Canis lupus familiaris: one gene and its partners. The protein of the gene in region 1 interacts with the protein of each later gene in a pairwise test. Links are inferred from orthologs where the notes say so. Each region holds a gene or a part of one and is shown in the gene's direction. Other genes may lie near its edges.

Region 1 (10,583 bases):
TCTTTCCTCCCTTTAGGAACACACTGAACTAATAGTTTCTTCTTGCAGCAGCGCAGGCTCCATGGGCAATCCCTGCACCCAGGAAAACAAAGGGGATACCCAGCCACTGTCCTCTGGTGCTGAGCATCACTAGCACTAGAGAGTGTGAGACTCTTAAGCAGGGTCCACACCCGGCATGGTGCCCAATGTGGGGTTCCATCTCGGAGTCAAAATCAAGAGTCAGGGGATCCCTGGGTGGCGCAGCAGTTTGGCGCCTGCCTTTGGCCCAGGGCGCTATCCTGTAGACCCGGGATCGAATCCCACGTCGGGCTCCCGGTGCATGGAGCCTGCTTCTCCCTCTGCCTATGTCTCTGCCTCTCTCTCTCTCTGTGTGTGACTATCATAAAAAAAAAAAAAAAAAAAAAAAAAAAAATCAAGAGTCAGATGTTTAACCAGCTGAGCCACTCAGCGCCCCTGAGTGATTTTTATTAACCATTCAGGTGCCCCTGAGTGATTTTTATTATTTTATTCATTTAAGATTTTTATTTATTCATAGAGACACAGAGAGAGAGAGAGGCAGAGACACAGGCAGAGGGAGAAGCAGGCTCCCTGCAGGGACCCTGATGTAAGACTTGATCCCGGATCCTGAGATCACGCCCTGGGCCAAAGGCGTCTAGATGCTCAACCACTGAGCCACCCACGCATCCCTTTTTCCCTCCCAGTTTTGTACTTCCTTTTTATCACAACTGCCAAAAACTCAGATTACACAAATATATGCAAATATTGAACAGGATCTATTTTGATCTGACAGTGACACTGTGAACTGTCTTAAGCTTATAATTCACGTGGTATTCTGGTGTTGTTAACTGTGTTTCCCTTAAAATTTATCCTATGGCAAAAAAAAAAAATAATCCTGTGGCACCCTTGTGCATTTGTAGTAGTGCCTAGAGTGCGCCATTTGAGAACTGTGATCACAGACTTATTGCACTCATTTGTTTGAACTGTGTTTCTAGATGTCTGTGTGCCAGATCCTGAGTGTACAGGGTGAGAAAAGGAGAGTCCTGCCCCTGGGATGCCTGGGGAGCTCAGTGGTTGAGCCTCTCCCCATCGGGCTCCCCGCAGGGAGCCTGCTTCTCCCTCTGCCTGTGTCTCTGCCTCTCTCTCTCTGTGTGTCTCTATGAATAAATAAAAATCTTAAATGAATAAAATAATAAAAAAAGAGTCATACCCCTGTTCCCATGGAGTTTATAGTTTATTGGAGACGTAAGTGTTAAATATAAAAGGATCTGTATCTAATTACAAATTGCGATAAATGCAATGAAGGAAAAAAGGGTGCTATACAAGAGCATAACAAGATACTTATTTTTAATTAAGGGTGATGGTTAAACTGGAATCTGAAGGATTTAAGTAAGAGTTAAGAAAAGTGGGACGCCTGGGTGGCTCAGCAGTTGAGCGTCTGCCTTTGGCCCAGGGTGTGACCCAGGGGTCCAGGAATCCAGTCCCACCTGGGGCTCCCTGCATGGAGCCTGCTTCTCCATCTGTCTGTATCTCTGCCTCTCTCTCCATGTCTCTCATGAATAAGTAAATAAAATCTTAAAAAGAAAAAAAAGAGTTCAGAAAAGTATCAGATAAGGGGAACAAACTGAAAGCTTTGAACTGGGAAGAACCTTGGCAAGGTCATAGTATTGAAAGAAATCAGTATGGTTGGGCTAAATCAAGGAGGAATGAGGTTGGGAAGGTAGGCAGGGTCTAGATCTCTTAGCACTTTCAGGCCTTAGGAAGAAGTGTGGATTTTACTCTAAACACAGTAGGAAGCTTTTAAGAGTTTTGTTTTTGTTTGTTTTTAAGATTTTATTTATTTGTTCATGAGAGACACACAGAGAGAGACACAGGCAGAGGCTCCTTACCAGGGGCCCAACACAGGACTCGATCCTAAAACACAAAGATCATGACCTGAGCCAAAGGCGGACACTCAACCACTGAGCCATCCAGGCGTCCCAGCTTTTAAGAGTTTTAAGCAGAGATGTGGCTTGATTCAATTTTAAAAGATCACTCTGGAGGGGGGCAGGGGTTGAAGTGGGATGTCTGTTTCAGTAGTCTAAATGAGAATGGTGGCGTGGGCTTGGGTGATGATACCAGAGAGAGGGGAAAATGATGGTGGTAAGGTGCATTTTGGAAGTACCTTGGGGTGGATCAGGTATTTGGAGTAAAGAAAGAAAAGCTGAAAAGAAAGAAAGAGAGAGACAGAAAGAAAGAAAAGAAAGAAAAGAGAAAGAGAAAGAAGGGAAGGGAAAGGAAAGGGGAAAGGAAAGGAAAGGAAAGGGGAAAGGAAAGGAGGAAAGGAAAGGGGAAAGGATAGAAAAGGAAAGGGGAAAGGAAAGGAAAGGGGAAAGGGAAGGGGGAAGGGAAGGGAAAGCTGTGAAAATAATAGTGTCTTGGATTTAGTTTGTTGTCCTTTATGGAGATGTAGAAGCCTGGGTCAGAAGCAGTTTGGGCAGAAAGATCAAGTTCTATTTTGATGTATGTTCGAAATACCTTTTATGCATCAGATTGGGAGTAAAGAACAGACAAACGGACAGGAGGTCTGGAGCTTAGAGGAGAGGCTGGGCTAGAGGTAGACATTTAGATGGATAGCTCTTCCCTGGTCTTCACACAGCTGGTGAGTGATAAATGCACATTTTATAGATTTGTTGCAGTGGGCTTGCTCCTTGATTTCATGTTGGGAAACTGGAAACCTCTGAAATGCAAATTTCCAGTTAGAAAAATGAAAATCAGACAGTCCATCCTTACCGTTGTCCACAGCCTTTTATCCTGTCTTGTTGTGAAGCCTTTCCATGCCACCGGATTCTCTTTTCTCAGTCTGTGGCTCCTTTCCCCGCCTCATATCACCTAACATTATATATCTTATTTTTCTCTGAGTCTTTTATTTCCCTGGTGGCAAGCTGCAATTATATATGTTAATAGTAAGACTAGTGAGAGTTAAGGCAACTGTGTTCTCCTTATTCCTGGCACCCTCTATTCTTCCTTTTTTTTTTTTTTTTTTTTTTAGATTTTATTTATTTATTCATAGAGACACAGAGAGAGAGAGAGAGAGAGGCAGAGATACAGGCAAAGTGAGAAGCAGGCTCCATGCAGGGAGCCCGATGTGGGACTCGATCCTGGGTCCCCAGGATCACACCCCGGGCTGCAGGCGGTGCCAAACCACTGCATCACTGGGGCTGCCCCCACCCTCTATTCTTATGGGTTGATGCCAGTAAAAGAGGAAGACACTTCTCATTACGACTTGGGCCATCTAGGACTTTTCTACTTTCTAACAACTGGAATTTCTCTTTCATTTTCTTTCCTTGGTTCTCCCTAGATCTCATTCCAAAAAGAAGCATGGAACACAATAAGCCTGGACTAACTATGGGGCTTGCCTAACCTTTTATAAACCTTTCTCTCAGGGCACTTTGGTGGTTCAGTCAGTTAAGCGTCTGCCTTTGGCTCAGGTCATGATCCCAGGTTTCTGGGATTCAGGCCCCACATTGGGCTCCTTGCTCAGTAGGGAGTCTGGTTCTCCCTCCCCCTTTACCTGCCACTCCCCCTGTCTTTCCTCTCTTTGTCAAATAACCTTTTTCTCTGTAAGAGTAAGTTATTGTCCTCAGCCATGCAACACCTGTCGTGAATTTGAAGAATCATTTTCCAAGAAGCTACAGAAATTAGTAATCCTATATGAGAGAATGTCATGTGGGATCTACATGCTTTATGTATTAACTGGTGGTTGAAACAGCCCTGGGATTCTTTTAGAATATGAGTTTCTTCTTTCACTTGGATCTTTTTTTAGTTTTCTCCCCAATCATCTCTTGCAGTGACTTAGAATCCCGTAGGGATGTGAAGAGAGAAGAAGGAGAGGCCTTTGCCCGGGAGCATGGACTTATCTTCATGGAAACTTCAGCCAAAACAGCCTGCAATGTTGAAGAGGTACTACTTGCGAAAAAGTAGGGAAAGCTTTTGAGAGATGACAACATATCTTTATTCTTTTATTCAGGATTCTCTTCTATAAGACTGTTGGTAAGGAAAGGGTGTCTGTGGTTACATTGTATGTCCGTATGTCTCCCTTTAAGGGAGTTGTCCCTTTTTTTTTTTTTTTTTTGTCTTTGTTCCTACAGTAGGGTTTTACTTTTGCCTTGTGTAACATTAATTGGCAAGTATTATGGATTAGACACTATTGTTACTTTATATTTCAGTTGGAGGGTCTCATGGGTTCTACAGGTAGTCATTCTGAAGCCTGCTGTTGACTGTATCTTTAGTAATTAATTGAGAACAGAGCATGTTTGTTTTATTTGGAGAAGGGGCCAGTCAAGGATCATCTTGGGTTAGTATCAAAATACCATATAGTCCTTTTCTTTTTGAAATAGAGACTTTGGGGGATCTTTTGTATTTTTACTCTGGTCTCTTAATGGTTCCTAATTTACCTTAGAAATCCAAGTAGGAATAATATTTGTATTCCCGTTTTCTAATTTCTTTATCTAAACTTGAGCCTAATAATATGATTTCTGTCTCCTTTAGGCCTTCATTAACACAGCCAAAGAAATATATAGGAAGATCCAGCAGGGTTTATTTGATGTCCACAATGAGGTGAGAAAGGGTGGGGGGAGGCTGACAAGTAACTTTGCTGCTTTGTGTTAAATAGGACAAGAAACCCCCTAGAATGTGAGCATTTCCTTTCTAACACTGTGCTTTTTGAAGCTATGCTAATCCATACTTGATGTTTTACAAATCTGTCATCATTTTCTGTTTTTTTCTCAAGTCCGAGGCCCAGAATGCTTAAAGAGGTCATTAGTTGGTGATCTAAGATGTTTACACAGTATAGGAGATTATCTTTGGGAAGAGTTTTTACTATCCCAGTGTTTAGGGGTGAGGTAATTCCTAATTGCTCAACAGGGCCATTTCTATAAAGCAAATTCTGGGACAAAACAAAAAAGAATTCTGTGCTAACATCTAGTCTTTCACCTTCTCCTGCTCTTATCTAATCTCATCCTGATTGTACACATAGCCATGAAACCTAAATACAATAGTCACCTTAAAATTGAGCCATAGAGGGGCAGCTGGGTGGCGCAGTTGGTCAAGTGTCTGACTCTTGGTTTCGGCCCAGGTCAGGATCTCATCTATAACACTTATGTCTGAGCTTGTCATCTCATCTTTATGGTTGAAGACTACTGTCCCACAGCAGTTTGCCTAGGGCACATGGTTAACTGCCAAAGCCGTATCTGCTTCTAGAAGATGTAACTCATGATTTCTTTTTTAATCCCTCTCTTTTCTCCCATTTACTTTAGCACTGAGGTGGAACTCTTGCCTCTTTTCTCTTACAGGCGAATGGCATCAAGATTGGTCCTCAGCAGTGTATTTCAGCATCAGTAGGACCCAGTGCCTCCCAGCGGAGCTCTAATGAAATAGGGTCCAACTCTGGCTGCTGCTGAGTATCTGGCCTGGACTCTTTTTTTCCTTCCTGGAACAACGTCAGATCAATAGGCTTAAAGAAAGAGGTCTTAACTTGCTTTGGCTGAGAAAAGCCTCTTTTCACGGTGTGATGTTTTGCCTTTCCACATAAAGACCAGGGAAGAATTTGGGCCCTACTGACCTGTCCTCCTTCAGGGACGTGAGGATTCCCTATAGATTAGGGCTCTTCTCATCCTCCTATTTTAATTTCTAGAATGTTAGGATCAAACTTGATTGTCATGGTAGCTCAAAAATAAATTCTTTTATAAGTATATACAATTCGCTCCCCACTAAGAATTGGTAATGAGGGCCTAGGACATTCTACTTGAGCACTTGATTTTACTGGGATCTGGCTGGCCTTTGGGATGGTGGATCCTGAATCTAGGAGTTTCATGGATTGTTTTCACTTGCCACTTTGCAAGTGTTCTTGCAGAAGGCAGTTTCTTCTCTAAAACTGTTCAAGGATGCTGAATACTTCTCTACCATTTCATTGCTAGTTTCTCTGTCTCCGAGTAACTAAAACTTTTGAGAGCAGTGGAGTTACTCCTGGACATGTGCCACTTAGCATCATTACTTAAAGAAAACCTCTTTCCCTGTTTGCTTTAGGGACCAGACCGAACACTGCAGTGTCTTTCACCAAATTAACCCCCTACTGTTTCACCATACTTCTCAACAACACCTATTTAGACTTTCTACTTTAATCAAGCTAATCTGCTTTCTGGACATATTTACTTACACTTCTATGCTTTTGCACATGCCCTACTCTCTGCTAACATTATACTCAGTCCCCAAGTTTTTCCTTCAGAAAGCCTTCTTTGACCTACAGACTTCTAGATAAGTATTGACCCAGTACCCCTTAGGCTTTCATATGTTGTTTATTCAGATGTGTATTTATTTATATTTATGTTACTTTGTAAATTTGTTTTGTGTGTGGAATCTGTTTCCCATATAGGTTGTAAGCTCCTTGAGAGCAGGAACCATGTTATCCCTTTACTTTTGTAAACCACTCCATTGTTCTTCACTGCGCCTAGTGCTACTTGCCTAGTGCTACTCGTTATGTGATCATTGGACTTGACTGACATAAAGACTTGTAACAGGTTTATTGTAGACTGCAAACAAAAGGCCTTAGAGTCATCTCTTTGTAACTCTTTGTCTCTTCCATCTGCTTACCCTGGATTCTGTATTGCTTTTCCTCTGTCACCCCTCTCCCTTCCCTGGCTCTTCGCCTCCATTCCGTGCAGCATACAGTAAGGCTGTCAGCTTCCACGCAAATAAGTGGGTACCTTTCCAACCATTTTTCTTTTCAATGGCATATAATACTATCCTAAGCAAATTTGCCTTTGCTTAACTCATCAGGCAGCCTTCTGGGTCAGTTTTTTGTATCTTTTGCCTTGATGTCCTGTTCTCTTCCACAGCATTGAGGTCTCATGAATTTTTCTAATTTTTTTTGTTATTGATGAATTGTTTCACTATTAAATATATGCATGTATCCAAGCTGCTCATATTTCATGTGTTCTTTCTGATTTTATCCCAAACATATATAGATGTTCTCCTTCTAGGAAATTAAAGGTATTGGAAGAAGCGTCCTTGATATACACTTTTTTTTTAAGTTTTTATTTAAATTCCAGTTAACATATAGTAATAGATTCAGTACTTATGTACGTCACCTCGTGTTCATCACAACAAATGCAGATACATTCATTTTATACTAGATTTACCTCCTTGTATTAGTAATAATAGTTATTACACCACATAAAGTTGGAGGACATTTAGGGTAGTGCTTTGACTATACTTTAAAAAAAAAAAATCCTACCTCATTCCAAAAAGGATCTGAGGCTGTTGAATTTGGGGTTAGCCTGTCCCCTCGTGCCAGGAGCAAAACTGTAACTGCCTAGTTTCTGTACATAATCTCCCAACCTCCAAGGTTTCTGTCATTAGTTTAAAATTTCAGGAAGTGAGGGGTACCTGGCTGACTCAGAAGAGGGTGGGACTCGATCTCAGGGTTGTGAGTTCAAACTCCATGTTGGGTGCCGAGATTACTTAAAAAAAAAAAAAAAAATTTAAACTTAAAAGAACCCCAGAACACTCCTAACCTTCTATACTTGGGTATTTCATCCATGTAAGGGAAGCATGAGGAAAGTTACTTGGGCAAATTCATGACCTCTATTGATCGTTGCTGGTGATCAGAGACACGGTCATGGTCATGAAACATGATAGGAAGTAGATTCCCCAGCCCGTGTGAAGAAGGGGAGGTCTGATGAGGGCATGCTTGGCTGTCAAAGGCCAGCACCGGGGCACACGTCCGGCTCAGGTGATAGAGAAAGGTACTCTTTTTTTAAGAATATATTTTATTTATTTATTTGTTCATGAGAGACACACAGAGAAAGGCAGAGACAAAGGCGGAAGGAGAAGCAGGCTCCACGCAGGGGGCCCGACGCGGGACTCGATCTCGGGACCCCGGGGTCCCGGGAAACGGACTGTTGATCTCGGGGTCCTGAGTTCAGGCCCCACCTTGGGAAAACTTGGAAAAGGAGGAGGTGGGGCCGCTGGGGTCCCGCTCGGGGCGAGCCGTGCAGCCCGGTACTTACAGGTCTCCGCGGGCGGAGGCCTCCTGGGCAGGCCGTCCCCTCCCCTATCGCCCACCGCGGCTTCCTGCGGCGGGCCTCGTTCGGGCCGAAGACGCAAACTAGACACGGTCGGTGCTCCCTCCACCCAAGCTGGTGGCCGGGGCTCCCGGGCCGCGGGGCGCGCTGCCTCGACCGCGGCCCCGCCCGCGCCATCCCCCACGTGACCTGGGGCTCCGCGGGCCGGAAGTGCCCCCAGCGGGCCCCGGGGCGGCGGGGGCACGGAGGGTCACCCTGTGGCTGCGCGGGAACCCGTTCGCATTCCAAAATAAATAAATAAATAAATACTGTTTTTAGTGCTGCCGTGACGCGTGGGTCTCCTCCCTCCCACGGTGGGGGGGCCGCCGCCGACCGCACCGGGCCCCGCTCCCGACCGCCCGGCCGGACCGCACAAAGCACGTCGGCTCGGCCCGCCCCGGCTTCCGCGTCCCCGCGGCCCGACCCAAGATGGCCGCCCCCGCTCGGGGCCAGGCCGCGCGGCCCGCAGCGCCCCCAGCGGTGGCGGGCGGGGGCGCAGCTGGCGGGGGCCCGCACGCCCGCGAGCCGAGCAGCAGGGCCCGCGGCCGCCAGATCTTATTTCCACTCAGGCACATCCGTGGTTGCCTACGTACCCCTCTAGGCCCTGCAGGACCTCCCCGCCTCCGGGGACTTCCGGGATGGCGCTCACACTACCTTGCTGGGGGGCGGGGCCGGCCCTGCCATTGGCAGGCGGCCCGGAGGTGGGCGAGGCCTGCGGCGTACGGACTGCCAGCAAGCTAGGTTGAGGCGAGGGCTGGCCATGCTCCGCCGGAAGGCGCCTTGTTCTCCGACGCGGTGAGGGGAAGCGCTGGCTGGCAGGGACGCTGCAGGACTGGCTCAGGTAGGGCTCCTGCTCGCGCCGGCTCGTCAGCGCTGCGCCGGGGGCCCCTGCGCGGCCGCGGCGCCCGGGGCGGGCCCCTGGGAGCCCCCGGCCCGCCCGCGCCGCGCTCCCCGCTCCCCGCGCCGCCGGGGCGTGAGGGGTCAGGCGCAGGGGGCTGCTCCGGGCCGCCCCCTTCTCTTTGTGAGGGGCCGGGGGGCGCCGGGGCCTGTCAGCGCGTCCCGGGCGTGGTGCGCGCTGGCGGCGGCGACGAGACCCCCCGGCTCCCGGGTCACCGCGCTTTGGACCCAGAAGTGGGAGGTCAGGGTGGTTGTGGTGGCTTTTTTTTTTTTTTTCGTTTCTTTCTTTTTCTTTTTTTTTTTTCTCTCTCTCTCTTGTTTGTTGGTTTTGTTCCGACGATGGAGGTGGGTCGGAAAGCTCGGGGCGGGCCGGCGCCTTCGTTGCCGGTTACCGGGTGCGAGCACCGCGGGGGTGCGTGTGGAGAGGCGGCGGCGACAGGGCCGCTCAGGCCTCGCGTCTCCGTTGACAGGTCCGCAGAGCCCGCGGGGCCCGGCCTGGCGTTATGTAAACTCTTCCCGGGCCGGAGACCCCTCCCCCTGCCTCGGAGCGGATGCCGGCCCTTCGTTTACCTGTGTCTAGTGTCACAGAGAATTTTCCAGCCATTGCAGCCTCAGCAGCAGCAGCAGCAGCAGCAGCAGCTCTTGCCTTTAAGCGGCGGTCGCGAAGGGAGGAAGGTCTTCCGAGGAGTGCAAGGCAGGTGCATGCATGTCCAGCGGGTCGGCCGTTTCTCCCAGCGACTGAGCGTAGGGAGCTGGGAGTCGGAGACCTGGAGCTCCATGAGGCGTCCTGGCGCAGGGCTCCAGACCCCAGCGCGGCCAGGCTCTCCTGCATCCTCCCCTCACAACCGGCATCCACACACGATCGCTCTCCTCTGTTGCTCCGGGCCTGTCAGCTCAGGTAGGGATTCCCTGGCCTGTCCGGTTCGGGACCCTCGAGACGCCGGAGGGCTCTGTCAGTTAATGAGCTACCGTCTTCTGCCCGGGAATTTCGTTGGTAGGGCTCACCAAACAGGCTTCCAAGAAAATCGTGGTGTTTTGGACTCATCCCACCTCCTTTAAAACGGGTTCCTAAAGAAAACATTATTCTGTATAAGGAGACCAAGAGGGGCAAGGCATGAGGAAGGCCGCGGGCCAAAGAGAGGGTAGGCGTGTGCGGTGCATCAGGCCCCGGGGAAGGTGTAACACCGGAGCAGGGATTCGATGGAATAGCATGTGGGTACTTGCACAACTCACACCTCCCGCAGGTGTGGTCCGACCTGTGCATCTGGCCTTTTGATTTTGTCCGTTCCCAAATTGACAGAATCCACTTATTTAGACGTGGATAGAAAAGGCTAGAAATGGAAAGCAATTTGAGTTGCTGTGAATCGCCAGGAAACGTAGATGTATTTTCTGGGATAGCCTCTGCAGCGCCAGCAGATGACTGGGTGGGGAAATCTCGGCTTTGTGGTCACCACCATTGCAGGGGTTTGGTTAGAAGAGGAAAGAGCTTTGACACTTAATATGAGGGGTCTGACAGGTAGGATAGTTGCCCCGTAGTCAAGGTAGGATGGTGAGGCGAGTCAGTCTTTAAAAGAGACTGTTGTACCC
Region 2 (11,045 bases), on another chromosome or scaffold:
GAAATGAAAATAAAAGCTCTTCAGGTGATCTAGTTCCAAAGGACCAGGACACTCTGAGATCTAAACACCATCCTGAACACATCCCCCTCTAGTGGTCACTAGACTCCCTCAACTGCACCCCTCACCTCTCAGTGCCTGGAGGTGGTGGAGGCGTCCTAACTCTTGCTGCTACTTCCAGGTCACCCATCCTCCCATCAGCCCTTGAAACCCACCCCTCCCGGTGGCAGTCACTTCCTTACTCACTGAGTATTTCAGCTCTGCTCACCGTCCCAGTGCAACACTATCCCTGCCATAAGTCTAATGATTTTATTTTTTGATTATTTTTTTAAATCTAGTGGTTTTAATAGCTATGTAGAGATTCTTTCATTCCGGCAGCTTCTTAGTTCTTTGATAGTCTCTCCTTTAATGATCTCACACTGCAACCTACCTCAGCCATGTATTCCCTCATGACATCCTGGATATTATTACTACCAATGGCTGCACCCTTTCCGTAATCTCGGTTGCCGACATCTCACTCTCCAGCTATCACCTCCCACTCTTTCCCTCTGCTGCCAACAATTCCTCAGCTCCACTGCACTGGACTGAAAGGTCATGATCTATCCTTTTGATCATCCCTCTGCATTCACCCTCAGCTCCCTTCCTCCTGTCTCCTCTTCCCAGGTTAAATCCCACTGATTACTACTGGACTGACTATACTAAGCCTGAGCCGCTGGTTGCAATTGGAGAAAATACACATCCATGTTGACTTGTTTTACTTGAAATCCATGGCTGGATCCCAACCTCAAGACAGAACTGCAATTCTACTACCCCTTCTACTCCCCTTCCCAAGCCCATTCATTCTTATACCTCTTTCCCTCTCTTGTGCTTCCAATACCTTCTTCCTTACTCTCTCTCAGCTAATGATGCTTCATTTTTCATGCAGACAATAAATGTGACCAGAAGAGCATTTCCACATCCTCCCCCCAAAACTCCCTAGCCTACTTGTAGCTGTCTAGCTGTACTTCCCTCTGTTCTCCTGAATGAACTCTGTCCAGAGCCAATTCCTCCCCATTGAGTACTGAACACCATTCCTGCTTGTCTACTCAAGAAAAGCACTCTCTCACTCTAGCAATTATCTTTTTTTCTACTACATCGTCATTTTTTGCTCTAATGTATGGTCCTAAATAGCATATGATGCTACAACTTCTCTCATATTTGAACCCCCAATCTCTTAATCTCTGCTCCTCTTTATGCCAGAACTCCTTGAAAAAGTCATCTTACTCACTGTCTCTAAATATTCTTCTATTCTCTCAAACCCACTCCAATCAGGTTTCTTTCTCCACCACTCCAGAGAAATCATTCTTGTTAAAGTCACCAATGACCTCCACATTGACAAATCCAAGGGTCAATTCTCAATGTTCATCAGAACTATCAGCAGGATTTAACACAGTTAAAAGTCTTTGAAAAGTTTCCTTACTTGGCTTCTGGAACCCCATACTGCATTCCCACCCCTCCACACACACACCTCCCTCCCAACTTCGTACTATATCACTACATTCCTTCCCAGTCTTCTTCTGGGTCCTCCTTATCTGATTTGGCACAGCTAAAACTCAGTCTTGGACCTCTTCTGCAATTCATGAATTCTCATCATGGTTTGTGGCTTCAAAACAATCAATTTGGGCAGCCCGGGTGGCTCAGCGGTTTAGCTCAGCCTTCAGCCCAGGGCCTGATCCTGGAGACCTAGGATCAAGCCCCACATCGGGCTCCCTGCATGGAGCCTGCTTCTCCCTCTGCCTATGTCTCTGCCTCTCTCTCTCTGTCTCATGAATAAATAAATTAAATCTTTAAAAAAAAAAAACAATCAATTTGCTGAAGATTCCCCAGTTACTATCTCTAGCCTAGACTTCTCCCCCGAACCCCAGATTCTTATATCCAACTGCCTGCTAAGCATTTGCTAAACATTTCTTGTTGAAAATCAAATGCCTGAATCCTTACTACCTCAGACCCCAAACCTGTCCCTTTTGCATTCTTCCTAATTTCAATAAGTGATATTTCTATTCTTTTTTTAAGATTTATTTATTGATTTTTAGAGAGAGAGAAAAAGAAAGAGAAAGAGAGAGTGAGCACAAGAGGGAGGGGCAGAGGGAGAAGGAGAAAGAATCTCAAGCAGACTCTGCACTTAGCACAGTACCTGACATGGGGCTGGATCGCGTGACCCCGAGATCATAACCTGAGCAGAAACCAAGAGTCCGCGGCTTAACTGACTATGCCACCCAGGTGCCCCATGATACTTCTATTCTTGTAGTCATTCGGGTCAAAATCCTTGGACTAATGTGTGACTTCTTTCTTTTCCTCAAACCTCACATCCAATCCTTGAGCAAATTTCATTGGGTTTTTCTTGGAAATATCTCCAAAAGCAAAATACCTCTCATGCCCTCCACTGCTCCCATGGTGGCCAAACCATAGTCATCTCTTACATGGATAATTGCAATGGCCTCCAAACTGGTCTGTTTGCCTCTGCTCTTTCCTCCACCCACCCACCTTCACCCTATCCCACTCCAACCCAGTGAGAATCAGACACTAGAATCATCACACATGCCTACTCAAAATCTGTAAAGATCCTCTTCTCATTCAAAGTATAAGCCAAAGTCCCTACTGTGGTTTTTGTTTGGGGTCTGGAGTTTTTATTGAAGATTGTGGTCTAGTATATGTGTCCTCTCAGGCATCCAAGAACTGGTCAGAACAAAGACAAGGGTCCAGGTATCCTCTATAAGTCATTTATTCCTTGGAGCCAGGGGGTCTTGGCACTGAGATGTCTAGAGCCTATGATCCGGAATATGGTTTGTCTGGTCATTCTCAACCAGTCCTTTCTTAGATGTTATCTATTGTACTGGAAAAATAAAGAAGTCATTAACTCCTTGTCCCTTAACAGGAGGACATGTATTATTTGTACTATGAGGCATGTGTAAGGTGGGGGTGCAGGTCATAGCATGAATAGAAGTAGGAAAGGGAACAAAAAGTAGATTTTTATGGAGTCCCTTCAGTTTCCTCATCTCAGTTGGACCACACTGAAGGACAGTTTCAAAAATCTAGGAAAGGCGGCCTGGCTATTCCATGTCTAGCCTGGGATACCAGAAAGCATATACAAAGATGGCCATTGCAGCACTATGTGTAATAGTGAAACATGAAATGCCCCAAATTTCCATCAACTGGGAAATAGATAAATTGTGGATATTCATACAGTGGAATCCTATAAAGACCGAAATTAATGTATTAGATCTACACATATGAACATAAATGATTCTCAAAAATATAATGTTGAGTAAACAAATGTATAGGATGTTACTTATAAAATTTTAAAACAGGGGGATCCCTGGGTGGCACAGCGGTTTGGCGCCTGCCTTTGGCCCGGGGCACGATCCTGGAGACTCGGGATCAAATCCCACATCGGGCTTCCTGCATGGAGCCTGCTTCTCCCTCTGCCTGTGTCTCTGCCTCTCTGTCTCTCTCTGTGTGACTATCATGAATAAATAAATAAATAAAATCTTTAAAAAAAATAAAATTTTAAAACATTGAAAAATAATTCTTTTTTTTTTTTTTTTTAGAGAGATTTTATTTATTTATTCATGAGAGACAACAGAGAGAAAGTCAGAGACACAGGCAGAGGGAGAAGCAGGCTCCATGCAGGGAGCCCGATGTGGGACTGGATCCCGGATCTCCAGGATCACCCCTGGGCTGAAGGCGGCGCTAAACCGCTGAGCCACCCAGGCTGCTGGAAAAAGAATCCTATATAGTATCTGTGGATAAAGGTATGTGCCGTAAAATATAGAAATAAGGGTGGGAAGAGTTTACAACCACCTCAGGACAATGGTTACCTCCAGGGAAGGTGGAGAATGGAAGGGAAAGGATTTCCAAATATCTTTAACATTATTTTCTTTTAAAAGAAGGTTCTAAAATAAATATGACAAAAAAGTTGTTCAATCTACCTATTGTCATTCTCCACTTTTTTTCTTAAATAAGTATTTGTCATATTATTCTCTGCTTTTCAATATGTTTTAAGACTCTGGAATTTTTTAAATGAATAAAGAATTTCTAAGTTGCAAAAAATAACAGGTTTTGAACTAAAACCTGGTGGGCTTGGAAGCAGCAGCAGTTGAGTAGCAGGGCATAATCTGCAGTCATCAACAAAACCCTTGTGGCTAGGGTTCCTTGTGTGATATTCTTTTATTGGAAAGGTGTGGTTTGGGTCAAAGGAGAAAAGGAAACCAGCCAGCCCTTACAAGGCAGGTCTGATTGTGCTCTTGCCGTTCAGTGCAGAGGGAGGACAGGTGTGGCAAAAGTACCTGCTGTCCCTAGTAGGCGGGTGCAGAAGTCACAGGCACAGTGTTTGTGTCCATGGTAACACCAAAACACACCTGTCACGCCTTTTGAACAAAATTTGCCAACACTCAGAATTACAGAACTCGGAAAGAATCACTGTTTTTTAAAATTGTATTTTCCCTAACTCATATAAAATATATACACATATAGATGTATTTACAGGAAAAGAGTTACACCGTACATACACTTTGGTAAACTTCCCCAGGCCTCGACTTGAAATTTGGCTACGGCCTGCTTTCTTTGCATGTCAACAAGTCGGATGGATAGTTATAATTTTTAATGGCCACAGCATATGAGACTGTTCGAAGCTGCTACTCTTTAAACAATCCTTTGGGGCAGCCCCGGTGGCTCGGCGGAGACCCAGGGTCGAGTCCCACGTCAGGCTCCCTGCATGGGGCCTGCTTCTCCCTCTGCCTGTGTCTCTGCCTCTCTCTCTGTGTCTCTCATGAATAAATAAATAAAATCTTAAAAAAACAATCCTTTATTGTGGGATGGACTATGTATGCGTCTTCCCGGGCATAAACAACCACAGTAAATATCCTTGTACATACATATTCTTACATTTGACTATTTGAGACAAACTTGCAAATGTGGAATTCCCAGGCCACAGCTAATGTTTTTGAATCTTTTTTTTTTTAAGATTTTATTTATTCATTCATGAGAGACACACAGAGAGAGGCAGAGACGCGGGCAGAGGGAGAAGCAGGCTCCCCGCGGGGAGCCTCCTGTGGGACTCGATCCCGGGACCCCGGGCTCCTGACCTGAGCCGCGCAGCCGCTGCCCCGCGGAGCCACCGGGGCGCCCCAGGGCTTTTGCATCCTGACCTACATTTCCGAACTGGCCTTGTAGAGAGTGCTCGTGTTTAGTTGGTTTTGCATCGGATGGCGCTCCCTGAAGCCAGGGAAGGAAGGGAAAGCTGCTGAACGCACAATCGGCGCATGGAAAACTCTTGCTCAAGTCGAAGCGAGCCTTTCCCGGGGACGCTGCGGGGTTTTCCGGGCGCCTTGAGAGGAAGGGAACGGTGGCGGGGAACCCCGAGGTCCTCCCCAGGTGGGGTGGCGCCGGCCGGCGCGGGAGGCTCCCAGTGGGCCCCCTCGGTGCGGGGCGCGGGGCGCGGGGCGGGTTCGGGTTCGGGTTCGGGGGCGGGGCGGGGCGGGGCGGGGCTCCTCCTGGGCCGGCCGCGCGGTCCCCCCCGCCCCCCGGCCCGCCCTCCGGCCGCGTCCCCGCCGGCCCTGCCGACGTGGCGGGGCGGGACCCGCCGGGCGCTCCCGCGCGCACTCGGCCGCCGGAGCGGTAAGAGCCCGGGGCGCCGTCTCCGCATCCCCTTCCCCGGGCGGGCGCGGGGGGGCGCGGGGGGGCGCGGGGGGGCCCTGCCGGCGCTCCTCGTCCTGGGCCCGCATCCCGCCCGGCGCGTTCCGGGGAAGCCGTCGGCCGGGACCGGGAGGAGCGGGCTCAGGGCTGGAGGTCCGGGGGGCGCGGGCGGCGCGGCCCAGGGCCCTGCGTGGGTGCGGGCGTGTGAGTGTGTGTGTGTGAGTGTGTGTCGCTCCGGGTCCACGCTCATGCACACACCCACACGCCCGCGCTCGGGGTCTGCGCCCTCGGCCGCCGTCAGCCCCCGCGGAGCCTGCCCCGAGCTCTCCAGGTCTCGGGTCCCGGCCCCGAGCGAGGCTGGAGAAGTTTCCCCGGTGTCCCGGGTCCGCCGGCGACACAGGGGGAGCGGGTCCCCGTAAGGCAGAGGCCTCCCTCCCCGGCTGGCCCGCCGTGGGAGAGCCGGGGGGCTCTGGCCGTGACCCCCACCCGCCTGGGTCCTCCCTCCCTCGGCGGCCTCGCGTGCGCCCCAGCCAGCGCCCCAGCCAGCGCCCGAAGAGCCAGCGCGCCCTGGCTGCAAGCCCCCCAGCTCCCAGGCCCCACCCGCTCACCCACTGTCTCCCTTTGGGCCCCGGAATCGGGTGAGTATTTCCCGCCGCCTCCGCTCGGGCGCCTGAGCTGCGCTGCCCTCTCCTAGAGTCCGGAGACCTCTCAGTGTGGGCTCAGGGCAGGATCTGGCCCCATTCACGCCATCCCATCCCATCCCGAACATTAAGGGTACGAGCAGGTGGCTTCTGAAATCCGCGTCTCTCGACCTCCACCCCGAGGTCACCGGAGAGACAGTCTCTCTCCTCGGAGGCCCCTCCCAACCTCACCCATATTCACCCCCTGCGCCCTCCTCCCTTTCCTCCCTCAGAACCCGAGCTCAGGGAAGACTGACAGCTCCTGACCCTGTAAGCTTTAAGCGAAGGCATGAAACTTCCAGGGTGGTGTCAGAAGCACAACGGAGCCAGTGCAGAAGGAATTGGAGGGTGAGAGGGAGCCTTCTAGAATACCAAGGATTCAGCCCATATAAGTAGCCGTGTATTTATAGGTCTGACTTATGTCAAATATTCTTTCTCTTGGATCAATATCAGACAATTATATAGTTCAGTTCTGTAAACATCTGAGGATCAGAACCCGAGCTGAGTGCGTGTTGGTCACAGTCCAGGAGGAGGAAATGACACAGATGCAGACTCCTTATAAATGCCATAGAAGTCAGTGCAGAGGATCACACGGACACACACAGGACGTGGAAGGGAAAGCAGTTAATGCGAGAAAAGGGTGGAGGAAATTAAGGACAATGATAGAGTAAAAAGTGATGCTAGATGTGGAAAGAGACAAATGGGAGTTTGCCCGGCAGTTACAGGCAGGGCAGCCCCAGGGGCGGAGAAAGCAGGGAGGCAAAGGCAAGGGGGGCACATTTGCAGGCTGCGGTCACTGAGGGAGTCTGGCCAGGCGACAGTGCTCGGTGTACCAAGAGTTACAAGAGGTGGATGAAGAGATCGGAGCAGAACCGTGTGGGGCCACAGGTGTCATGCAAAGGTGTTTAATCCTGGTGGTTTTAAACAGGGGAGCAAATAGGTCCCATCTGTGTTTCAGAAAAAAAAACATAGGAGACAGGTGGAGAGGGGAGGAAACAGGCTGGGTGCAGGGGGAGCTTGGGCTGGGGCACATGTTGAGCTTCATAGGAGGGAACCTTAGCTGCTGATTAACCTCTCACCCAGAGTTTTTGTTCCTGGTCCTCATTGACCAGCCCTTTTTAAAATTGGGGGCAGTGATCTTATCCAGGGTATTGCATTACCAAATTCATATTTTGCCGAAAGTGGCCTTTTAAAAAAAATCCATCCACTGCACTACTATGCGGTAAAATTAAAGACATTTAATACCAAGAAAAGCATGAAGGCTAAACTTGCAAGATGAAGGCAGCCCTTTAATAAATTTAGATGGATGAAAAACTTGCTATCTTGTCCTCATTTTTCTCTATCATCATGGACTGGTCCCAGTCCCGCAGTCTTTGGTGTTTGGGAACCAAATATCCAGGTCATTTTGTCCAGTCTTTACAGAGGAGGAAGTGAGGAAGCCCAACAGGAGTGAGTTGTGTGCCCACAAAGAGATGGTGGGACCAGAGAACACTCTTTCTGCCTCAGAGTACCCACCCCCCCTCCACTCCTACCACTGACCTGCCCTCACTGTTCCTCTAGACTGCCTCCTGGTTGGGCCACACAGATGTTCATCCTGATTATCTAGAATTCGTTCCTGATGCAGGGCATTTGCACATACTCTTTTCCCATCAGGCCCAAGTAATCCTATCAAAGCTATTTTCAAGGTTCTCCTTTGCACAAGGTCAGTCTAATTCAGGCACATCTTTCCCTCATTCGGTGTGCTGTTTTGTATCATCGTTTAACCATCTCATGTTTGCTGAAGTAGTTTCGTGGACCTTCATTGACCAGAGCTAAAATGAAAACAGATTATTCATTTTCTGAAGGATAGTAGCCGTGTCTTCCGTTTTAAACTTATTTTTGGAGCCTATGATGTTGCTGCTCCAATACCTAGCATAGTTCTGGGAGCGTTTTAGGTGATGAATGAATTTACTCATGAAAAACTAACTTATTCCCAGCCCACAAAGGCTCCTTTATATGCTACTCTTCCTCTCCTTGAGTTTTTCTAAAGAAGCCTCCTTGTTTCTGTGGGTTGAGTTTCACTAGCATCAAAGCCACAAGACATGGCTGCAGTGATCAACGTTCCAAACCATAAATCAGGAGAGATTTATAAGTCTGACTGCTTCTGGGGCACCCAGGCCGAGATGGGGACTGTCCTAGGAAACAGCATGTGTCACAGCTGTAGTCCTGGTGGACTCCGACAGTCACTGGCCCCAAGCAGCTGTGTCTTTAGGATGCGATACTTTCTGATGGCCTCAGAGAAAAGGGCACAGTCTAAAACTAACTCCGTCTTTCCTGTCATAACACCCAGAGGAGATAAAGATCTACGAGAACAAAGGAAAAAGATTTCTGGTTTTGGTTTTGGTTTAGAGAAAATACAGACCTGTAGCAGGTAGAAGGAAATAGAGATTAAAGATATATATAAGAAATTAAAGTAGGGCTGAAAACTATAGTGACCATTTTTATTATCCAAACTGATGTGAAAATGTCTTGAAACATAGAAGTCATCCGTAAATATTTTTAACGGTGTGGGTTCAACACCTTACAGCTGATGTGGGGTATTTCTGAAGGGGTGGCTTCCTACTGCTGGTTGAACATGCAGAGCAGTTGCAGGGAAGGAGGTTTTTGTCACAGCCATTTCTCTGCAATTGAGGTGAACGGACCTAAGGCAGGTTGGCCCTCAGCTTGTTTTTACAAGCTTGATGAAACCTGTGTTCTCCGTCCTCTCTGGCCTTTGGTGAGGACTGCTCTAGAGGCAGGGCTCAGCTAACCCAATCAGGCTTTGGGGTTCTCCTGCAATTCAAGCGCAACTAGAAAATATCTCAAAGAGGGCTAAGCTGCTGAACTCAATAATATCCAATAATATCTTCTGCCCTGGTGATAGAAGGGCAGACTGACCTGTCCATTATTGCTTGCCAGTCCACATATCTTCAGCATTTTCCGTTTCACCAGTGGAATTTCTAATTAGCACATCTTGGGGGTACTGACTCAAAAGGGTGATTGGGAAACCCTCTCTAGAGGTGGACAACTATAGATTTTGAATGCCAACTGAAGTCCTCCAGAGAGTATATTCCTGAATAGGGCACTTGGGATGTTAACCAACCACCCCAGGCTGTAAATTACAACTAACCGGCATGTATGTCCCACGATATATGCTGAAGGATTTTAGAGTACATGATGAATAGCCTGGCGACACATTTAGGGCAAAGCATAATCGACAAAGTGTCCAAAATGTTTTTTATTTGCCCATGAATGTTTATTATAGCCAGGTTTAGTCCCATGTCCCTACTTACAGAAAAGTGAAATAGTTTGGCACTGATTAAGTGCCTAAATCAGATTAATAATACGATTTTCAAATTACCTTACACAAAAATATCAGACAATACCAGGAACCAGCTATTGATGAATAAAAACTGGGAACAAAAGTGATGTCAAAGCATCATTTATTCACAAACCCATTCTCCTTATGCCCCTAGGACTCATAGGATAAATTAAAACAATATTTAGGTCATGGCAACCAGGCAATCTTCTAGACCATGGGTCAGCAAACATTTTTGTCAAGGGCCAGATAGTAAACATTTTAGGCTTTGCGACTTCGTGAGCCATATGGTCTTTTCTAATACCCAACTCAGGTGCTGCAGTGCTAGAAAAGCCATAGACAGTACATCAACAAATGAATGTGTTTGTGTCCCAACAAAATCTTATTTACCGAAGCAGGCAGAGGGCAAGATCTGGCCAGAAGGCTGCAATTTGCCAACCCCCTGTCCTAACCTGGTTCTGACTCAGAGATTTTCTTTATATGCCAGCTAAAAGGAAGTATGCATTTTTTGCCTTTCCCACTCATAGACTTGTTTACAGGAGTGTTATTACTAAATTCAAGGATTTTTATTTAAAAGGAGACGTTAGACGTTGAAGGAACCAAGGAAAGACAATATGGATCATTTGGAACCATTTGCTGTAAAGTAGCTCTTGAGTAGTAAATAGGGTAAAGGCATTTTCTGCTAGTTTTCATTTCAAATTACATTAAAAATTTTTTTAACTCCAATATAATTAGCATACAGGGTTATATTAGTTTTAGGTGTACAATATAGTGATTCAACAGTTCTATACATCCACTGGTGATTATCACAAGTGTATTCCTTAATCCCTATCACCTGTCTCCCCCAACCCGCACCCTCCTCCCCTCTGGTAACCATCAGTTTGTTCTCTATAGTCAAGAGCCTGTTTCTTGGTGTGTCTCGCTCTCTTGCTCTTGCTCTCTGTTTTTTTTTTTTTTAATTTGCTTGTTGGTTATATTTCTTAAATTCTACATATGAATGAAATCATGTGATATTTGTCTTTATCTCGCTGACTTATTTAGCATTATACTCTAGTTCCACGCATCATTGCAGATGACAAGATTTCATTCTTTTTTGCTGGCTGAATAATATATATATACTTATATATTTTTATATATATACTTAAATATATATATATATTTCACATCTTCTTTTTCCGTTGATCTGATGGACATGGGCTGCTTCCTCAGTTTGGCTATTGTAAATAACACTGCTATAAACAGAGGTGTGCCTACAATCCAGTAATTGTACTACTGAGTATTTACCCAAGAAATACAAAAACAGTAATCCAAATTACATTTTAATTTTAAGTCTCCAAATATATTAATATAACAACACA
Region 3 (11,325 bases), about 21 Mb from region 1:
TATCAGCTCAAACTCCCAAATCTCATCATCCAAATCAGGTATGGGAGAAATTCTGAGTATAATCCATCTTGAAGCAAAATTCCTCTTCGTCTGTGAATCTTTGAAACTAGAAAACAAGTTATTTGCTACCAAAGTACAATGGTAGGACGGGCATAGAATAACAATTATTGATATTCCCATCCAAAGAGGGAGAAGGGGGGGGGGGGAATAGGGGTAAACAGTTACAGTCAACTTAGAAATCCAAATGAGTAAACCCCACTAGGTTTCAAAGACTAGGAATAATCCTTCATAGTGCTCAGGTCCACTCTCAGCCCTGTCCTCTCAATCTTCCTATTTAATAAAGGTTAACAACATTTGCAACCACTCAGTTTGATAAGTCTTTTCTTGACTCCACAGATCCTTCCTGGATAATCCCATCTCTGGATGGTTCTGAGAAGATCTATGACACATACATATAATCTCATCAAAGAGCCCTCTGTGTGATGGAATACTGATTTTTTTTTTTATCACGTGGGCACTAGGAAAAAGTTATCCAGTCACACTTTTGGCTTTCTCCCCAGGACACACTTTCTTGACAGTGAATCTAAAAATTTAGCCTCTTTTTCAATCTGGACAGGCTGAGAATGTCTCAATCACACCCTGGTTTCTTTTTGCTTAAAAGCTAGATTTTCCAGCTTTCTGTTATTGTTGATCTTTAGTTTTGTATCACTGTGGTTAGAAAATATACTTGGTATGATTTCAGCCTTCTTAAATTTGTATTATTTATGTCTTTTTTATGTGATTTAGCCAATGGATTCTTCTGTGTGTACTTGAAGAAAATGTGTATTCTATTTTTTCTTGGATGAAATGTTGTATATGTATCTTTTAGAACCATGGATTCTGAAGTATGCCTCATATAAAAAATGTGCTTGTTGGAAAAAAAATATTCACTCAATTTATCTTTTTTCTCTCATATTTGCTATAGGTAGCAAGGAGATACCAGGCTGTACATTTAGCGCCATGCTTGGAAATTCCTTCAGCTAAAGATCCAAATTTATCAGATACTACTTTGCTTTCTATGTAACACAATTCTGCTAGGCTTTCTGCTACTATTCAACACCTCCTTTCTCCCAGTTTTCAATAACATATTTCTCATTTACTTCTGTCTTTACCAGAAGCACCTTTAACAATATTCATACATCTACCCACATGCTGGCTATGGTGATTTGGGTATTCTCTAAGGTGATAATAGGTTTTTTCTACCACTTTCCTCACTTTTTTCTGAGCCTTCACCAGTAGTGCCTTTAATATCTATCTTTCTACAAATACTCTGTGAAAATACAGGTATTTTTTGAGACCGTATAGTTGGGTTTTGTTTTTTTTTTCCCCCCATATAACAGCCTTCTGAGCCCTCACTGGCAGAATCATTAGTATTCATATTTCTGTTCAAGGCAATCTAGATTTTTCCTACTATACCACTCAAAACTCTTCCAGCCTCTAGTTACTGCCCGATTCCAAAGACACTTCCATATTTTTATGTATTTGTTATAGCAGCCTCCCACTTCTAGGTAGCAAAATCTGCATCAGTTTCCCAGGGCTGCAGGAACAGATTAAGACATACAGAGGCTTAGAGCAACATAAACTTATTCTTTTACAGTTCTGGATGTCAAAAGTCCAAAATTATTCTCACTGGGCTAAAATCAAGGTGTTTGCAGAGCTAGTTCTTTCTGGAGGCTCCAGGGGAAATCCACTTCCTGCTTTTTAACCACCGGCATTCATTGGTTCATGGTTGTATTGCTTTAACCTCTGCTTCTGTCATCACTTATCCTTCTGATTCCAACCTTTTGCCTTTATTTTATAAAGACCATTGTGATTACATTGGACCCACCTGGGTAACCCAGGCTATCTCCCCATCTCAAGATCCTTAACTTAACCACATCTGCAAAGTCCTTTATCATGTAATGTCATAGGGTCAACTTGTGAAGATCAAGATATGGACATCTTTTGGGGGAGCTAATATGCCTACCACAGCCATGTTCATTATTAACTAAATTGTCTAAAATGTTTAACCCATATTTTCAATTACATTGTTTTAAGCACTCCCCTCGTTCACTACCCAAATTACTGAGATAATATTTTGAATGTTTGTTCTTCTAAAAGTTCCAGCAAAAATTTCAGCAACAGAATAAGACTATATATTGAATCACAATTCCCAGAGCTGTTGAGATCTGAATAATTCCTTGACTCATTATTATTGTTCGGAGTATTTCCAAAGAACACAGTAGTTTCATTATAAGGAGAAAATGTTAAGTCCCTATGATAAAAATCATAACTGTTTTGAAGTTGAAAGATATCTAATGAGTCATCTCAATTTCAAGGATGAGAAAAATAAGACCCAAGGAAGTTAAATGATTTACTTGATGACACAAGCTCTAATGTAGAGGACAGGGAGCATAAATTTATTTTAATCATATCTAAAGCCTAACTGTATGGAAATCTGTTTCAAGAACAGCATATAGAAAGCTGCTGCATTCTCATAAAAAGAATTCCTTAATCTCAGATTCAGGTAGCTTTTTATTTAGGCATCTGAACTTCTTAAGTTTTGAGGCAAATATTCATAAGATAGTTTTCTAAATGGCTAGAGGAGTTTAAGACAAACTATATCAGATTAATGAAAATAGAAATATATTTTCCAGAATGCTACACATGATGATTATCAGGCCAATAATAGGAGTTTTACTGTTGTTGATCTAATGAGTGGTCTGGAACAATTTCTGAAAGTCCATAGACCCTACAAGTATTACAGTGTCTGATTTCCCTGGAGATAAGACAATTACCTCAGGTTCTAATGGAATACTAAGATAAATATCTTGTAATATATGTGCAAATGCTTTTAAGAAAACCAGTATATCTTCACGTTGTTTTTTTAAGCACCTAAATTAAATTACTGTGTCCCATGCTATTTATTCTTTTCAAAAAAGACCAAAACCACTGGGATACTTTTAAAATGTTAGTTTGTTTACTAACTGTATATTAGGCTTAATGTTTTTTCTAAGATAAGTAATAGAGACATAAGGTAGAAATTAAGATATAAGTAAGGACTTTAAACAAGCCAGTAAAAATTTTTATTGGTATGTTAAGAGGCCTCTTAATAAACAAAGGAAAACTAATCCTATTATCAGAAATACTGGATATTTCAATATGAAGGGAAGAAAATGTTTCTTTTGACCTATAAAACAAACTAAAGACTCAAACACTATGGCTACTATGACTTTCTATATGTGTGTGTGTTGTGTATATCATCATACCAATAAAAATACCTTGATCTTATTGAATTGATAACATGGTAGTCAGCAAATTTCTTTTTTATATATATCCAGTACGATAGTGGGTAAGACTAGAGTATAAATGTAATGTTTAAGGCTCCTTTATTGTATAGTCACCATATAAACATCTAGAAAAAAGCTTAAAAATCTCATCAGCAACGTGAGGGTGTATCAAAACATAAAATTTATCATGGCTGTAAATATAGGCATTGCAAATAAAAAGTTTTTTCCCCACTAATAGAAATAATTAACCTAATAAAAATAGGAAGTATAAAGAAAAGTTATACCATCCAAAGATAAGCACTTTAAACATTTCACTGAACATATTTTCATATGCAAACACACACACAGATGATCTTATATAAATTGGACCACACATAGAATGCTACTTTGATATCTTTTTGCTTTGCTCTTTTTCTTTAAGAAAAAAAAAATCAAGACTATCATGTTAAATAGGGAACTACATAATGATTTTCACAACTGCAGAGTACTATATCATAGAATGCTCCATAATTTTTTTAACCCAGCCCCTATTGTAAAGCATTAATCTTGTTTATGATCTTTTTTCGCTATAATAAACCTTGATAAACACCCTGCACTAACCTATTTACCACTTTGTCCAATTCTCTCATCAAGGTAAATTCTCTACAATTCTCAAGGTAAATTGTCTACAATTACTTCTAATTGGTTACACCAGAAGTCCTGGTTAGGAGAGTGTGTATATTTTAAGCTCATACCTAACAGAAATTTTACCTAAACCTTTTTAAAGGAAAGTGATTTGCCAGTATGTATTAAAAACCTCAGATGAGTCCCTAGGGCAGGGGGTTGTGCTGAGCTGTCACAGACAGGGTAGCCTTGTAAGGATGGGTGGGGTGAGGCGGAGAGGACAGTGTCCCTGCTCTGAGGGAGGGGCTGATGGGCAACAGTGACAAAGGAGTGCGTGGTGGGCACAGGTCACAATGGGCAGGAGAAGATAAAAGGAGTCCTGTGGGGTGGTTTAAGCCCAGGTGGAGGCTTCAGTTTCGGAGGAGAGGAGCTGTACAAATACAATAAGCAGTGAGGTTGTAGAATGCAATAGAGCAGAGGCTATTGTGAACCAATGTATTAGGCTCAAGAGGAGGCCCCTCCCTACTCCAAGTGAACACCAACATCTACACGCCTCAACATCTGCATACTCTGACCTCTATTGGGACCCTAACATCTGAGCACTTCAACATCTGCGCACTCTGACATCTACTGAGGACCAGATCTCTTGCTCCTCCACATCTGCGTACGATTACATCTACTGGGGCCCAACCTCTGTGGGCCTCCACCTCTGTGCACCCTGACATCTACTAGGGTCCCAACATCTGTGCACCTTGACATCTGCTGGGGCCCTGACCTCTGCTCCTCAACATCTGCACATGGTAATATCTACTGGGGCCCCGATTCTGCACTCAACATCTGAGCACCCTGTCATCTACTGGGTCCCTAATGTCTGTGCACCCTGACATCTCCATGATCTAGGCAGAGCACAGTCTAGTACAGGTGCAATTAATTGTCTTTAGCACTGAACAATTGGTAATCAGTACTCCCACCCTGTTCTCAGTTGCTCAGAGACCTGTAGAAGACCACTGCTGGGCCACCTGCTAGAGAAATCAGGGAAATAGGACACCCTGAAAAGTGTGGTAAGGTGTGGAAGACCCATAGGAGTCCTTGATAAAAGATAGTCATGAACAGTCAGTCTAAGTTACCACATTACACAGCCCAAAGCAGCCCTGCAATGGGTATGTTTAATACCTCCATGGGGAAACTACAGCAACACCTGTACAAGAGGGAGTACACCATATTGAAGTATGCACCAATGTTTGAGAGTGACTTTATACAGGTGGGCAAAAAAGGAGAAGTGACTGACGACGTGCACAACCGTGCCCGAATGGTGACTGTGGGCATCATCCGCACCAGCCCCCACCTCACACTACCTGATGTCATGCTGCTGGCTCGACCAACTGCTATCTGTGATGACCATAACAGATATGGTCCTGCCCCCCAGGAAAAGGGTTACAAGCCTACACAGATCTTAGAGCTAACCAGACTGTGTCCTTCAAAGTTTGTAACAATATCCATCCATAATGGTACAAAACAACAGCTCCACCTGAAGCTTGCCACTGGCCGCTCTTTTTACCTTCAGCTCTGTCCCCCTTCTGATACAAAAGATCTTTTTGTGCATTGGGAAAACCTTGTTTACATTCTGAGACCACCAGTAGAGGCTTACAGTGGTTCCCATGCCATCCCAGTTGGGGACTCACTGGGGACATAACTGGGTTTGAAGAGGAGGACAAGAGTCCATCGGTAAGTCTTCACAGAGACTCTAAAAGATGGGGCCAGGGTGCTATGGGAGAACAGCTAAAAGTCCCGCAGAGCCTTTGGTACTGAGGCTCACCTTTGGGTGAGGCTCACCTAGAAAATTCATTACATTTGGATGGGTTCAGGGCAATCAGAGCCTCCATTTGGAGCCTGTGTCACATTGAGGAGGTTCCGGGGGCTCCAGAGTTCCCCAATGCTGTATTTCAGAGCTTCCTTAGCTGTCAGCCACTCTTAATTTCACATCCAATATTGTATTGCCATCTGTGGCATCCTCACCATCTCCCCAGCCATGGCTCCCCATGATTGCCATGTGCTGATTCTGTATACATCAGTGGCAGACAGATGTGCCTGTGTGCATTGTTCATAGCTGTCAGAATACTGAAGTGCATCCCACTTAACCAGCAGAAATACTAACACAAGTGTATAAAAAATAGAATATGAGGATATTCACTGGTGAATTATAACAATGCTCTTGCTGACACTGGAACTGTCCAAGAAAAACTGGAAGGATCATGGGGTCATTGTGGAGATATTAAGGAGGGTGGATTCCTGCAACAAATGGGAAATTGGACTTCAGATCTCAAAATTCTTATTATAAACTCTTGTTGTTTAGCTATAGGAATAAAAGGTCTCACTTTGTTTATTTCACTTGTTTGTCTCTCCCTTAGGCAAATGTCATTCATTTCTATGGAAGGGATCAAGATCAAGTTGACATCAGGAGTCTTCACATGAACCCTGATTGTTTGGGGCCACCCCTTATGTGTATGCTGGGGAGGAATGAATTCACCATGCCTCCCACACCTGCTGCATTCAAGAGTTCACATACGTCTGCAGTCACAAAGCCTACAGTATCAGATAAAAGGTCAGGGATGGCGACAGCAGCAGCCATCACAGATCCAGGAGGAAGCACAGGAGAAAGACCATAGGGGGTGCATTCGGCATGTCCTAATATTGTTGTAAGCAAGGGCTACAAGCCCTTCTTGTCTTCAGAGGGCACTTCTAGCACATCAGGAGGAGCTACTGGCTTCTTCTCAGAGGGAGAACAAATCTGGTGATTCCAAGAGCAGAAACTACTGGCAAGCCTGTGGCAAAAACAGCTAACAGCTCAGTATTGAGACCCTTCATTACAACCTCAGAGTAAAGGCTACATGAATGAACAGGATGGAAGCCAGAGGTCTCCACCCAGCAGTACTGACTCTTTAGGAAAGAGCCTCAAAGCCCTGCACCACACCATGGTGCAGAGGTGGACATCTCATATAAGACTGTGGAGGAGATCAGTGTCATCCACCCTCACACAATTCATCTCAAATTCTCTGCTCTAATCATATATGCTCTTTTAAAAGGGAAGGGTAGCAATAAAAACAAATGGCAATTTCTGATCAGGTTCTGAACTATCTTTAACTTTCCCTTAACTTGATATTTGTGATTAAATTCACAGATGATAGAATAAAATACTAAAGGTTACTCTAAAGACTCTCATTTTTCATCTACATGTATTAACCAAAAAAAAAAAAGGTCTAAAATTTCCAAAATATATAACCAGGAACACAAGCAAATGGTAGTGATTATTATTATTATTATTATTATTATTATAAAATATTATTTTCAGGAGTATTAAAAAATTAATTATACTTTCTAGAAAGGGCTTCATTTCCCCAGTCTCTTTATTCTTGTTTTTTTTGCCAACTTAAATATTCAACTGCATTGAAATTATACTAAAATACCTAACATATTCTGTAAGCCTTAATTTTAATTCCCTGATGTTATTTAAAATTCTTAATTTCTTTGTGAAAATTTAGAATTCGAAATAACATCTTGTCACAAAGGAAGGACAAAATGCCATATTAAGACTAGAAAAAACAAAAATTGGCTAAAACCCGAATATAGGATCAATTCAAAATCTAGACAAAAACTGGAGGCTAGATAATCTTAGAAGTGTAAGATCCATAGGATCAGCCAATGTTCTAATTTTGCAAGCAAAAAATCTATTTGAGACTCTAAAAGTAATACATCACATAGTTTTAATTGAGTCTGTATTTCCATAATCCTCATGTTTCTGAAGATTAGGACTATGCTTTGAATATAGAAGATATTTGATACATGTGTGCTTGATCCACTTAAATTAAGGGTTATGAATGTGAAATAAATATATTTTATTTGAATCCAACAAATCTGAGCATATAGAAATTTGCATAGTATTATACTAATGCCAGTGATTCCCAAAGGCTCCTTTACCAAACTGTAAGGTAATAGGTTTTTGTGAGGCCTTCTATGCATAGTCATCAGTTTAATGATTTTCTAATGACCTCCCAAAATATTTCAGGTCTAGAAAAAACAACTTCAAAACAAAATCCTTTTTTTTTCATGAAATTTTAAGAAAACTTCTATTCTGAAGCTGGCCCAGAAAATCCTGAGTTCAAAGCTATTGTAAGTTGAGGACAAACTTACATTTGATATGATGTCTCCAATGTCACAACAAATGTATTAAGTTTTATTGTAGATACATATGTTAAAGGAGAGTCCATCAACAAATTGAGAACATTAGTAGAAGACCAGATGAGAATAGTAACAAAAGAATTCTGCTCTTCATTTATTATATTAAATAGAGTAAAAAAAAGATACTACATGTCAAGTAAATTTATAGATGTAATCAGTAACAATGAAAATACCAATAAGGATACTTTTAGAAAATATAGATTTCTAAGACCAGGCAATCATGTCAGCTAATTAATGCAATCATGATTTCTCCTCCCATGCATTATATGTAAAAATATCATGGTGGTTTTAAAAATAGGACAACAAAAATAAGAGATTTCAGAAGAAAATCCAAGCCAAACAGGATGCAATATAATGAGAGAAATGGGAGTTGCTTCTAGATGAGATGAATTAAACAAAAAAATAAGAAGAATAAAAATAAGAATTTTAATGAATTTAATAGTTTAAAAAAACTACACAAAAACCTCACATATACAAATGAGGGGGAAGCTGCAGACTGGGAAACATTTTGTGGTAAATATAAACTATTAAAATACTATTATTTGCAAGTCTTCACAGGAAAGTGGCCCAAGAAAAATCTCTAGTATTAAAATATTGTAAACCAAAGTCAAGTTACTTCCAAGCCTACTACCAAACTTAATAAAATGAAAAAAATCAGTGTTGAAGAAGGTGGTAGAGAAGCAAATTTTAGTTATATATTATTGCTGGCTCAGAGCTCTAATACTTTATCTTATGAAACAATAACAAACAATAAAAGCATTTGATTACTAGTAAACCATTAAGCAGATGAGGTTATATTAATAAAATAAAACTTATATTTTTTTCATTCCTTTATCCTATCTCCTTATAGATAGGAGGTAAAACTCATTTTTTTTTTTTTTTGGAGGTAAAACTCTTTAAGTGAGGAAATGAAACTGCCAAATATACTATGCATTTATTAATTGTTCCACTGAAATACTACTTAATAAAAAAAAAAAAGAAATACTACTTAATACTTACAATATGCCAGGAACTATGCTGGCCCTGAAATAGATATAATGCAATATATAATCCCTACCTTTATTGAACTCAGGGTCCAGTAGATATTGATAACAATTCTGTAATGATTAGGATAGTGTCTTAGAGTCCTAAAAATAGTTCATGTTAAGGTGAAGAGATTTTTTTTTTTTTTTAGGTACTATCTGCTGACTTTGTTTTCTCTACAATAAATTAATATTGGAACTTGATCAACTTGTGACATAAGACATGAAAAATGTGATTTTTTTCTTAGAAATAATTACCTCATACTTGAGGCAAAACAGAAAATAATATTTTTGAGATGTGACACTATTCTGGATAATTACTGCAAACTATTTTCTGCCCAAGACTATTTTTCCACATATGCACTAAGTAGTTACACATACATACCTTAGCCTTAGATTGCTTTTTGCATTAATGTTTTTTCATATTTTCATTTGGCTTCAAATTTCCTAGCTCTGGGTAATTTTACTTATTTCTGAAATTCCTCCATAGGCTTGTGTTGGTCCAAAACACACAACACGAATTTGAAGGTGATATAGTAGAATAAAATGGACTTAATGAATGGTGAGATAGTTTCAAAATTATATCAATGGTCTCATTTTTGGATTGTCCTACATAATTTTCAAAGGCAAACATTATTCTACAATGTTATATTGTGCTAAAAAAATCGTAACGATGCTATTAAAGAGCTCTAATATGTTTCCTTGTAAATCATTTTCTATTATATTAATATAAATTGTAATTTAATTTGAAAATAACATTCTTTAAATGAACTATTTCTAGATCATAAATATTAAAAATCTCAAAAACAACTCAATTTTTCAGGGGCTATCATCATGATCAAAATAATACAGCCACATAAGATGATGTAAAGTATGTGTTTGCATATCCATACAGGTACAACAAGTTAGATAAACATTTTACTGACTTTCAACTGAAGAAAAACTAGAGCAAGCAAGATATTAATTGGATTTTCAGGAAGACAGAAAAGATTTCCTTAAAAACATAGGCAACTATTTTTATGTTTTAATATATCTTAAGAAAAGCAAACTGTTACCTGTGCAAGAATGGGGAAGCCAAGATTCCTACATCCATTACAAGGAGTTAATGCTTCCCAGAGTCCTGAAGGCCCACAAGTGTTTTCATCATCATCTTCTTCTTCCACTTCTCCTGGTGACAAATTTATTGTAGATGAAGTTCTCTGAAATTAAATTTATATTATACCAATATATTATATCAATGTTATTTAGATATCTTAACATCAATTATATTATATTAATTTCTTGTAGTCTGTGCTAGAAAGCAAAATAAGCTTAATATTCACCATAGTTATGTGGCTGTGCCACATGACTAAGCCAAAAAAACATGTATAATTCAAGCTGAATATTTTAAAAAATTGAAAGTGAAAAAACTGGGTGAGAAAGACTAGTAGGATACAAAGTTCATAATGAAAAATAGACATGAAAATGACCCAAGAAAATATCTAAATAGCAACAAATTAGAAAAATCTTATCATTTCTAAATGCATCCAGAAGAACAGCAGGAAAATCCTTTATTGAAATAGGAATTGCTAAAAAAGCCCATTTTTTTGCTAAAAAGTCCATTTTTTCATAATGTCTCCTTTTCAAAAAACTGAACTTCATAAAATTTTATATTATACATCTAACAGGGGTAATACTTTTAAAATTAATAATGAGACTTCCATGTTGAACCTGCATATTTGTTTTTGCTACTTGCCAAATCCCATTAAAACGACAGCAATGGATTTATAAAAATGGTCTGATGCATGAGGACAGGGACAAAAGGAGAGAGATTAGCAGATGAGCAATAACAAGAAAATTTTAAGATAATGATAAACAAATGAGTAGGTATTGCCTAACCAAACTTGAGAAAACTGCAAACAAAATGTCTATAAGGGTGAAGAATAAGCAGCATGTCTATTCACAACTCAGTACCATCAAAAAGGCTTAAGAATCAGAGAGATGTACTATACATGAAAATGTAGGTGCAAGTAGGGCTGCAACAGGATAGAAACTCTATATTTGGCCGAGTTAGACCCTGAGACCCATGTTCTCAACTGGCCAAGAAACTAAACCTTCACCACAGACAAAAAATGGGAGGTTTATTTTCTGGTGGGATTGAAACAAAGGTATTATGA

What was found.
Region 2: the proteins of RAB2B (region 1) and FAM114A1 interact in binary tests that used the Homo sapiens proteins (3 or more experiments, as listed by UniProt). The two-hybrid records come from large-scale screens. The link is inferred for Canis lupus familiaris from reciprocal best matches to the Homo sapiens genes RAB2B and FAM114A1.
Region 3: the proteins of RAB2B (region 1) and FAM71C interact in binary tests that used the Homo sapiens proteins (3 or more experiments, as listed by UniProt). The two-hybrid records come from large-scale screens. The link is inferred for Canis lupus familiaris from reciprocal best matches to the Homo sapiens genes RAB2B and GARIN6.

What each region holds. Positions count from the first base shown.
Region 1 is NC_049236.1:18,616,755-18,627,337, reverse strand, and holds the end of RAB2B (ras-related protein Rab-2B), read left to right. Parts: intron 1-3,827; coding exon 3,828-3,939; intron 3,940-4,527; coding exon 4,528-4,596; intron 4,597-5,330; coding exon 5,331-5,438; 3' UTR 5,439-6,961; downstream 6,962-10,583. UniProt on the Homo sapiens protein: The small GTPases Rab are key regulators of intracellular membrane trafficking, from the formation of transport vesicles to their fusion with membranes. Rabs cycle between active GTP-bound and inactive GDP-bound states.
Region 2 is NC_049224.1:74,062,402-74,073,446, reverse strand, and holds the start of FAM114A1 (protein NOXP20), read left to right. Parts: upstream 1-5,571; 5' UTR 5,572-5,652; intron 5,653-5,875; exon of another isoform or gene 5,876-5,933; intron 5,934-6,384; exon of another isoform or gene 6,385-6,698; intron 6,699-11,045. UniProt on the Homo sapiens protein: May play a role in neuronal cell development.
Region 3 is NC_049236.1:39,186,046-39,197,370, forward strand, and holds FAM71C (protein FAM71C), read left to right. Parts: upstream 1-4,217; 5' UTR 4,218-5,016; coding exon 5,017-5,604; 3' UTR 5,605-5,636; intron 5,637-6,319; 3' UTR 6,320-7,030; downstream 7,031-11,325. Other genes in the region: ANKS1B (ankyrin repeat and sterile alpha motif domain-containing protein 1B), read right to left, coding at 10,225-10,368.